Saccharomyces cerevisiae S288C: one gene and its partner. The protein of the gene in region 1 purifies or fractionates together with the protein of each later gene. This does not show direct contact. Each region holds a gene or a part of one and is shown on either strand. Other genes may lie near its edges.

Region 1 (6,213 bases):
TTATAATCAAAATTTCTCTAATGTTTGGCTCTTCGTAGCGCGCGATGTGCCCTTTCATATTTTTCCTGAAAGTAAGGTGGCAAAATAGTAAATCTGCAGTAATTGGGTATAGCCATGAATATAGGAAGTAATAGGGCTCAGATTCTCAGTGTGTGGACAAACCAATTCTGCCTATTTCCTTTCACTCATAAGTTATACAAGAGGCAATCGGATAAAATTCAAGTATTTATAAAGTAAAAACCACAACAAGAATGGAGGAACTAGGTATTGTGACACCTGTCGAAAAGGCAGTCGAAGAAAAACCAGCCGTCAAATCATACGCATCATTGTTGGCTCAACTCAATGGTACAGTCAACAATAACAGTGCCCTGTCTAATGTGAATTCTGATATATATTTCAAATTGAAGAAATTAGAAAAAGAGTATGAACTGCTGACTTTGCAAGAAGACTATATTAAGGACGAACAACGCCATTTGAAACGTGAATTGAAGAGAGCTCAAGAAGAAGTAAAGAGAATCCAGTCGGTTCCATTAGTTATCGGGCAATTCTTAGAACCTATTGATCAGAACACAGGTATTGTTTCTAGTACCACAGGTATGAGTTATGTCGTTAGAATATTATCAACCCTAGACCGTGAACTATTAAAGCCATCTATGTCTGTAGCTTTACATCGTCATTCAAATGCTTTAGTTGACATCCTACCACCTGATTCCGACTCTAGCATATCCGTAATGGGCGAAAACGAAAAACCTGACGTCACTTATGCAGATGTTGGTGGGTTAGATATGCAAAAGCAAGAAATCAGGGAAGCCGTAGAGCTGCCATTAGTTCAGGCTGATCTATACGAGCAAATCGGTATTGACCCTCCTAGGGGTGTTCTATTATATGGTCCACCAGGTACCGGTAAGACGATGCTTGTTAAAGCCGTCGCCAATAGTACAAAAGCTGCATTCATAAGAGTTAATGGCTCCGAATTTGTTCACAAATATCTTGGTGAAGGTCCAAGAATGGTTCGTGACGTCTTTAGACTCGCCAGGGAAAATGCTCCATCCATTATATTCATAGATGAGGTAGATTCCATTGCCACAAAGCGTTTTGATGCTCAAACGGGTTCCGATCGTGAAGTACAGCGTATCCTGATTGAGTTGTTGACACAAATGGATGGTTTCGATCAATCCACCAACGTTAAAGTCATCATGGCTACAAACAGGGCAGACACATTGGACCCAGCTTTGCTGAGACCAGGCAGATTAGATAGAAAGATTGAGTTTCCCTCACTTCGTGATAGGCGTGAACGTCGTTTGATTTTCGGTACCATTGCCAGTAAGATGTCCCTTGCCCCAGAAGCGGACTTAGACTCGCTTATTATTCGTAACGACTCTCTATCAGGTGCTGTTATTGCAGCGATCATGCAGGAAGCTGGTTTAAGAGCAGTGAGGAAAAACAGATATGTCATCTTACAAAGCGATCTGGAAGAAGCTTACGCCACTCAAGTCAAGACAGATAATACCGTCGATAAATTCGACTTCTACAAATGATTACCATATATGCTTCAACGTAGGTCTACATAAAGTATTACGTACATTTCTATCTAGACAACACTAAATGAAATAAATACAGACGCCACTTTTTTATCACGTTTCTTAGCGTTATTCCGCGCGCAACCGGACGTCGCTAGCCAAGTTTTTCACTTTTTTTTTTCTGTGATATTTTTTTTTCCAAATGAGATGGTAAGATGAGTACCTATCAACAAGTATCTCAATCAATAAAGTACAACCAAAATATCAAGTACGCAGTCTCTGCTTCATCCCAGTGTAGATTTGCTATTCGATTTGTGTCATAAACATTTAACATTGCGCCCGTCTACAACAAAGGAGATAAATCAAAAAAGGAAATGGTACAAGAACAGGCAATTTTGAGCTGCATTGAGCAGACTATGGTTGCTGATGCAAAAATTATCAAAGAGGCAGAACAGCAGTTATTTGAGTTCCAGAAGCAACCTGGGTTTACTTCTTTTCTGCTTAATATAGTGTCTGATGATAATTTTGCGCTAAATGTTCGTCTTTCTTCTGCTATTTATTTGAAGAATAAGATTCACAGATCATGGGATACTAAGAGAGAAGATGGTATAAAAGCTGACGAAAAGCTTTCGATCAAGGAAAGGTTAATCGAGACTTTAGTTAAAAACTGTGAAAATAACCACATTAGGCCTATCCTGACTGAAACCATAAATGGGATACTTGTTGGTCAGGAAGATTGGGATTTAGCACCTATTATCAAGAATTTATTATCGAGCGGTGACGCATCGTACATTTATCCCGGGTTACTACTACTGTTCCAACTTTGTAAAGCTCATAGGTGGGACATGGTTGGGTCGAGAGATTATATTGATTCTGTTATCGAAGAACTTTTCCCTATTGTGGAAGGGATAGCTTCTAATATCGGTAGTCAAACGGATTACAGATCTAATGAAATATTGTACCTCATTTTGAAGTCATTCAAGTATGCATGTTTGAACAACTTGCCTCAATACTTCAGCCAACCTGAAAGAATTATGTCATGGGTGCAACTACATTTGTATTTATGTTCCAAACCATTACCAGTCGAAGTAATGGAACTGGATCCCGCAGATAGGTCCCTAGACAAAAGGGTTAAAGTGAACAAATGGGGGTTCGGTAACTTAAACAGATTCCTGCAAAGATACAACAAAATTACAAAGGCCATCACCAAGGAATTTATCGACTATATCTTCAATACTATTGTTCCTATAATTCTTCGAGAATTTTTTAAGGATATTGAAGCTTGGGGTAATAATTCACTATGGTTATCCGATTCCTCTTTGTATTTCTTAATTTCATTCCTAGAGAAATGTGTTACAATAGATCAACTTTATCCTTTAATTGAGCCACATTTACAAATTATTTTTGAGAACGTCATCTTCCCATGTTTGTGTGCTAATGAACAATCCATCGAATTATTAGAAGATGACCAAGAGGAATATACCAGGCGTTATTTTGACATTAACAGAGAAGGCTCTACGCCAGATGCTGCTTCAGCAGATTTCATATTCTTGATTGGGTCCAAACGTCCTGAGAAACTGAACAATATTTTACCGTTCATTAATGATATTTTTACTAGATTCGATGCCAATTCCAGTGATATTAACATGGCATTTAAAGAAGAGGGTGCTTTGAGAACATTGTCTAACTTGTTTTCGTTTATAGATGAGCCATCCGTTCTGGAGAATATTTTTGGACACTTCATCGTGCCATTGTTATCGCAGGATAAGTACATGTTTTTGGTTGCAAGAAGTTTGGAAACGATAGCGCTGTATTCGGAAGAATTTAAAGATATGAACATATTGTCACAATTATTTGAGTTAACATATACCAACTTCTTAAACAGTAACGTTTTACCAGTCCAAATTGAGGCCGCAGATGCCATTAAATGTTTAATTGTATCCAATCCTCAAATCCACCCAGCGGTCTCTGCTCATGTTCCAGGTATGATGGAAAAGCTATTGAAATTGTCTAAAATCTTTGAAATCGATATCTTATCTGAAGTCATGGAAGCATTGGTGGAGAGATTTTCAGATGAACTATCCCCATTTGCTAAAGATTTAGCTTCAAACCTAGTCGAACAATTTTTACGTATTGCTCAAGCATTGGTAGAAAATCCATCGGAAACCTACAGCGCAAGTGACCAAGAGCAGGAAATCCAGGCCAGTGGATTGTTACAAACAATGACTACTATGGTCATGTCAATGAATAAAGTTCCATTAATCGAGTCCTTAGCTCCCGTGGTCAAGTTTGTTGTACTTCATGCACAAATTTCTTTTATTACGGAAGCTGTCGACTTACTGGATGCTTTAACTATTTCTTCGCATCTGCTTTATAACCAAATTGCACCACCAATATGGGAGTTGTTACATGATATATTGGATTCTTTCCAAACTTATGCCATGGACTATTTTGAGGCCTACAGTATTTTTTTTGAAACCATCGTGATGACCGGCTTCCCACAAGATCAAACTTATGTTCAACCTCTGCTAGAAATTCTCTCTGCTAAACTGGAAAGTGAAGTTGACTACGACATCGAGCATGTTATGCAAATTCTAATGTACTTCGCACTGTCCATGAGAGACATTCCATTATTCAGCAAAGCCATCAAAGTATCCACTAATGATGAGCTAGGATTGGACTCTAAATGCATCGTTAAACTGGGACTGGCCAATTTGTTTGCTAAACCAATCGAAACTTTACAAATAATGGAAAATGAAGGTTTTACTATAAATTTCTTTACCAATTGGTTTAATGAAAAGTTCTACAGTGTCTTCGCCATCAAATTACAAGTCCTGGTCATTTTAACCCTTTTGAAGATGCCTGAAGTTCCTAATAGTGTCAGCCCACTACTAAATAACCTGACCAATAAACTGGTGGAATTGACATTATCATTGCCAAAGGCAATTAGAAACCGTGATGCTGTTACCGAGGGCAAATCCTTAGAAGGAGACCTGACCCCAGAAGAAGAAGAAGAATACTTTATCGAATGTGATGATGATATGAAGGAGACAGTGTTAGACCAAATTAATGTTTTCCAGGAAGTACATACCTTTTTCAAGAATTTGCAAAACGAAGATGCCGGTAAGTACGAAAAAATCATAAATTATCTGGATGAATCTAAGAGAGATTCCTTGCAGGTAATTCTGGAATTTGTTTCTCAACACTGAGGAGAACACAAAAAAAATAGTGGAATGTGATAGTTTGAAATAAGGATATTAGTTTATACTCTAATATACAAATATAAAAGTTGTTTCTTTTTCGTTCTTTTTTTTTTTTGGACTTGTCTTCGTTTTTATTACATACATGCATGCGCTTAACATATTCCCATGTGGTTTATTTTCGTATATAGCATTACTTTGTTTAGAAGCTTCTATTCAAGAAGAATCCTCCGACTTAACCGGATCAGATACACTATTGTGGTGTAATCTGGACCTTGACTGTCTAAACAACTCCTCTTGTTGTCGTAGCAGCTCTTCTTCCGAGAGACCTGACTTCTTGAACTTGGAATCCCTAGTTTCTTTCACCTTCTGGGAACCCTTAAAATTCAATAATATTTCCTCTAAGAATGGTATAAACTCATTATACTCCAACTCTTCTAGCGCTTTGATCACGTGCTCGGGCGCTATGGTTTTCTTAGCCTCGTTGTCCGCCATTTCGGAAGCCATCGAGGACAGGATCATTATGAATTCTATGCCGGAGTTGATGATGATTTCTCTTGCATCCTTGGTAAACATCAAATCCTGGTCCAGTATTTCAGATATCATCTTTTGTACGGTCGCTAAGATCATTCAGTGTTTTCTCTAAGTTAGTATAACCGCTCAGTACCCGCATCAAAGCTTGAGTTTTGCAACAACAATATAACTAACATACCCTTGGGAAGCGACACATTATCGGAGTCTCCAGCCATCAATTAATTAATAGGTACAACTGTATTAGTAAATATCGTTATGATTTCTTGCCCACCTTATACTGGTAACTCTGCACGATAGAAATCGACAAGGCGAGCAGAGGGCGAAAAGCGCGACCAAAAACCGCTTCCATTTATATAGGAGGGAGAGTGCAGCGGGCTGGGCGTTTTAAAGTGGTGCAAGAGTTAATTGCACATACTGGAATACGCCAAAGATAAGAGCCCGAGCTGATTAAACCAGATCGTAATTTTTGCGGCGACTATTCGCATGAACAGGCTATGCTGCATAGTGGTGGCATTTCTTTACAATAGTTTTGGTTGAACGTGTTGTACAGTTCCCCTTATTCTTTGATTGTCATTTAACACGGGGATGAGCTTCTTGACAAAAAAATTTTATCCAATTTTTTTTCATTTCTTTTTCTAATCTTTCGCAGCTGAAGCGATGAGGTGAAAAAATTAACAAGTATTGGATAGGATATATGTATGTAAAGATAGATGCAGAGCATATATAGTTTAAACTTGGCTTAGCAAGAGGGTAAAAGACACATTTGCCTTATAATTGTTCATTACCGATGGATTCTCCTGTTCTACAGTCCGCTTATGACCCATCAGGTCAGTATTTGTGTTATGTCACTGTAGCTTTGGACAAGCAACGCGTTGGTGTACAGCCCACTCAAAGGGCCACTTCCTCCGGAGTTGATACAGTGTGGAATGAGAATTTTCTGTATTTAGAGGACTCGAAAT
Region 2 (4,283 bases), 900 kb from region 1:
GGTTTCTTAAAACTTTAGCAATATCGGACAAACAGCCGTATTTTTTATTCTTATTTTTACTGCTTGATACAGTACCCCAGTCAGTGGCTGTTGAAACTCTGCCACTTGCCGTTTCTGATAGTACTTGCTTATAAGTTTTCATTGAATGACTTTTTTCACCAGCGGTATAGCTCTGAAATAATTTGTGCATATACGATCTAACTTCTTCTCTATTGTAAGGTTGTTTATTCGCTCTTTTAAATTTCTTATTTGTGGATGATCCATTGGCGGTGGAACTACCCTTTATATTAGCAGGCGGCGCGGTAGATGCGATGGTTTTAGTCTTCGTATTAGCAGGTTGTACAGCCACGGAATCATCTTTTCGTGCCTGCTGTTGCTGTTGCTGTTGCCTTGGAAGGGCTTTGGCAGCTGCCTGCGCCCAACCTGTTAATTTTGGCTTCTGAGGAAGCACAGCGGGCGTTGGACCATTTGAATTTGGACCTGAAGCAGATAAAGTAGCCTTCAAAGTCGAGGAGGTTCTGCCATCTACACTGGTTGTTGAGGTTGTTGTCATTTCGTACTAGATTAAAGGGAAAATTGTATCGTAAATAAGTAATAAAGTTAATGAAAATTCGGAAACAAAAATGGATAGATATTAAACAGTGAACAAATGAAAAATTTCAGAAAAAAAGAATTAAAAAAAAAAAGGGAAAAAATATGCACAAGATCGTATTATTTGTTGTTCCTCGTATTTTTCTTTCTATTTAGTCTCACATTTTTGACACATGCCTGGTGTTATATATACATTACAATGGAAAGTTCTTTTCTCTTTCTCCGAATAAAGTAGCGGTCTATTGATCACTTCTTACGCTGGGTATATGAGTCGTAATAAATAAAATCATCAGAATCATTCGTAAGTCATTTTACTTTTTTAAAAAGATAATTACAGTTTTTGGGTCTATATACTACTCTAAAAATGTGGTGGTGGCTTAATGCATCTTTTTTACAGATGAACCTTCGTTATGGGTATTGACATCGTTGCTAATGCTGACAGAAGGCACAGGCTCATTCTTGATTTTCTTGTTCACTTTCTTGTCATGTTGAAGAGCGGCATACTCAATAGCTTGTGGTGGGAGGGTTGTATCGTTGATGGCGGGAGAGTAGCCAATCTCCTTCAAAGTGTCAACCATTTGATCTCTAACTTTTTCAGCAAATTCACCAATTTTGTCCTTTGTTAAGTTCTCGGTTGAAATAGGTTTTAAAATTCTAACAATCATACAGCCTCTGTTGAAGACCCCATATTTAGGACTTACTAAAGTACTGGTATTGGAAACAACCACTGGAACAATGGGGATCTTACCCTGTTGTGCCAAATGGAAAGCACCCTTCTTGAAAGGCAACATTGTCAGCTCACTCGTGTAAGACCTGGTACCCTCAGGAAAAACCCATAGAGCACGCTTGTTTTTCTTAACATTTTCTAAACCTTTATTCAAGGTGTCAATGGCTTCTTGCCTTTTAGATCTGTCTAAGAAATATGTACCACTCAAAGCCATGAACCAACCCAGAAAGGGGACGTATTTCAAAGACTTCTTGGCAGTAACTGTGCAACCAGGGGGGAAAATCCTACCTAACATGAAGATATCCAAGGTGGATTGGTGATTGGCAATCATAATATATGGCTTCTTGGCCAAATTCTCCTCGCCAACGACCTTGACGTCAAGGCCAAGCATCAATTTCATGACATGGTAAAAACAACGCGCAGTAATCCACTGAGCCAAATGTTGCTTACCGATTAACGTGCAAAGGATAGAGGCGATTACACCGTAAAAGCCACAGCCTGCAAGCGCCAGTACGACCAACACGGACCTCAAGTAATACAAGAACCTACCTATCACACTCATTATTTTTTTGCTCGAATTCACTGACGGAGGGAAACCACTAAACTTCTCTATTGAAGAATTCCCCCTTCACCTTAAACCCTTCCTAATATAAGTATTTTGAACACCATACCATATTCTCAACAAAACAAAGGAAGCATAATTGATATCATCATTCACGAGATCCATCTCGTGACCGTGAAAAAATTTTCGTCTTCGTCTTAGTGTAATGTGTTCAGCCCAACCTCATCGCAATATCTCAAGATTTTTGAATTACAACCAAATCAAAAGCACAGAGTCGCATCTCATCGCTATGATGTATTTTTTTCTTTTTCCAAAAAATGGGTTCTATTTGGTTCTACTGGAACTAAAGTAGCATCTGCAAAGAAGTAATGTCTGAAAAACCACAACAAGAGGAGCAAGAGAAACCACAATCAAGACGTAATTCATTTGCTGTGATTGAATTTACTCCAGAAGTCTTGGACAGATGTTTAAAGCAAGTGGAATTCTACTTTTCTGAATTCAACTTTCCATATGACAGGTTCTTGCGCACAACAGCGGAAAAAAACGATGGATGGGTCCCCATCAGCACCATCGCCACATTCAACCGTATGAAGAAATATAGACCAGTGGATAAGGTTATCGAAGCACTACGTAGTTCTGAAATTTTGGAAGTATCTGCTGATGGAGAGAACGTCAAGAGACGTGTTCCTTTGGACCTAACTGCTGCCAGAAATGCCAGAATTGAGCAAAACCAACGGACTTTGGCTGTAATGAATTTCCCACATGAGGACGTTGAAGCTTCCCAAATTCCTGAATTGCAGGAGAACTTGGAAGCCTTTTTCAAAAAATTAGGTGAAATCAACCAAGTGCGTTTGAGAAGAGATCACAGAAACAAGAAATTTAATGGTACGGTCTTGGTGGAATTTAAGACAATTCCAGAATGTGAAGCTTTTTTGAAATCGTATTCCAATGACGATGAGTCCAACGAAATTTTGTCATATGAAGGTAAGAAACTGAGTGTTTTGACGAAAAAACAGTTTGATTTACAGAGAGAGGCCTCGAAGTCCAAAAACTTCAGCGGTAGATCAAGATCCTTTAACGGCCATAAGAAGAAAAACTTGCCTAAATTCCCCAAAAATAAGAAGAAAAACGGCAAGGAAGAGTCAAAAGAGGACTCTTCTGCCATTGCCGATGACGATGAGGAGCACAAGGAGTGATTCTTGTGTTTCTTCTGGTTCTCGTATCTCATTATCATAGCATATTAAGAATATATGTACTAACATATGTACTAAACAGAAACACAATATGAATTACAACTAATACTATATTATTTGTCTCCTTTTTTTATTAGTATTAAAAATTACCGTTACTGGTTAAAATGGAATACAGCTCATCCATTTAAAAAAAAAAAAAAATAGAATAACAATAATTAAGCAGAAAAAATGTTAACGAATATAATAAATCGATTTGTCCATTTTCATAAATTTTTTTTTTGTATTATTTCATTATCTGTGCCTCAAAGCATTAACTTTTCTTGCAGTCAGAGAGAGTCTCTTGCGTGGATTATACCAACCGCCATTATCAGCCGGCATAGGGGCCGGCGTAGCATAGTTACTATCAGCTGTAATTATGTATGACCACCCTGGTGTTACGGTAGTATGTTGATCAACGGAGTTTCTTAAAGTGTAGTAATACGTTACCTCACTGGTCGCGTACTTCCTTTTCCATGTCTTTGCTGTTACCTTAGTAGCCGGTTGGAGTTGCATGGGAGCATATTTCACAACACCTGTTTGTAAGTTGTAGGGAACGGTGAAACTCTTAGAATCAATCGTGGCACCCACATCTCCTGTGGTAATTCTTGTTTGTGCCTCTGGTGCAATGGTTATCATACTCGGATTAGCGGCTTTTGTACCAATCATCCCTTTTAGTTTAAATCTGTTAGTGTAATGAATGGTGTAACCGATAGCTGTTTGCGCAAAGACTTGTATGAAGTAAACACCGTCCGTCCCAACGGTGTTTTCTATTATCGCATTGAACTCGTTGTCTGTCAGATCACTCGCACTGAGTGTTTGAAGAGTAGCCATTGCTTCTATCATGGCATTGGTACCCGAACACAGAGTAAACGTGTATCTGACAAAATCCTTTTCCTGTGGTGTGTTATCTGTATGCATCCACTTTACTTTGACAACAGCCTGACTTGTACCAGATAAATCATAAACTGAGTTGGGTTCTGGAGCCACAATGGCCACATCACAATAAGCTGTTCGGAACACTACCGAACAAAATAATGTTAAGAATAATACTATCAGCATACGTTTTACGTAATTGATTTTTTATTATTGTTACCTACCTAAGAAGTCGACGTAATACTTGTATACTTTACTTTTTACTTCTGTGCAACTTTCATCGATACGTTTTTATAAA

What was found.
Region 2: the proteins of SXM1 (region 1) and LHP1 purify together in Saccharomyces cerevisiae (affinity purification with mass spectrometry; 4 studies listed by BioGRID, with this or other methods). This does not show direct contact.

The regions. Positions count from the first base shown.
Region 1 is NC_001136.10:1,261,430-1,267,642, forward strand, and holds SXM1 (Sxm1p), read left to right. Parts: upstream 1-1,894; coding exon 1,895-4,729; downstream 4,730-6,213. Other genes in the region: proteasome regulatory particle base subunit RPT3, read left to right, coding at 252-1,538; negative cofactor 2 transcription regulator complex subunit NCB2, read right to left, coding at 4,937-5,340, 5,433-5,469; UTP5 (Utp5p), read left to right, coding at 6,042-6,213.
Region 2 is NC_001136.10:361,704-365,986, forward strand, and holds LHP1 (tRNA maturation protein LHP1), read left to right. Parts: upstream 1-2,248; coding exon 2,249-3,076; downstream 3,077-4,283. Other genes in the region: PBP4 (Pbp4p), read right to left, coding at 1-553; 1-acylglycerol-3-phosphate O-acyltransferase SLC1, read right to left, coding at 969-1,880; KNH1 (Knh1p), read right to left, coding at 3,365-4,171.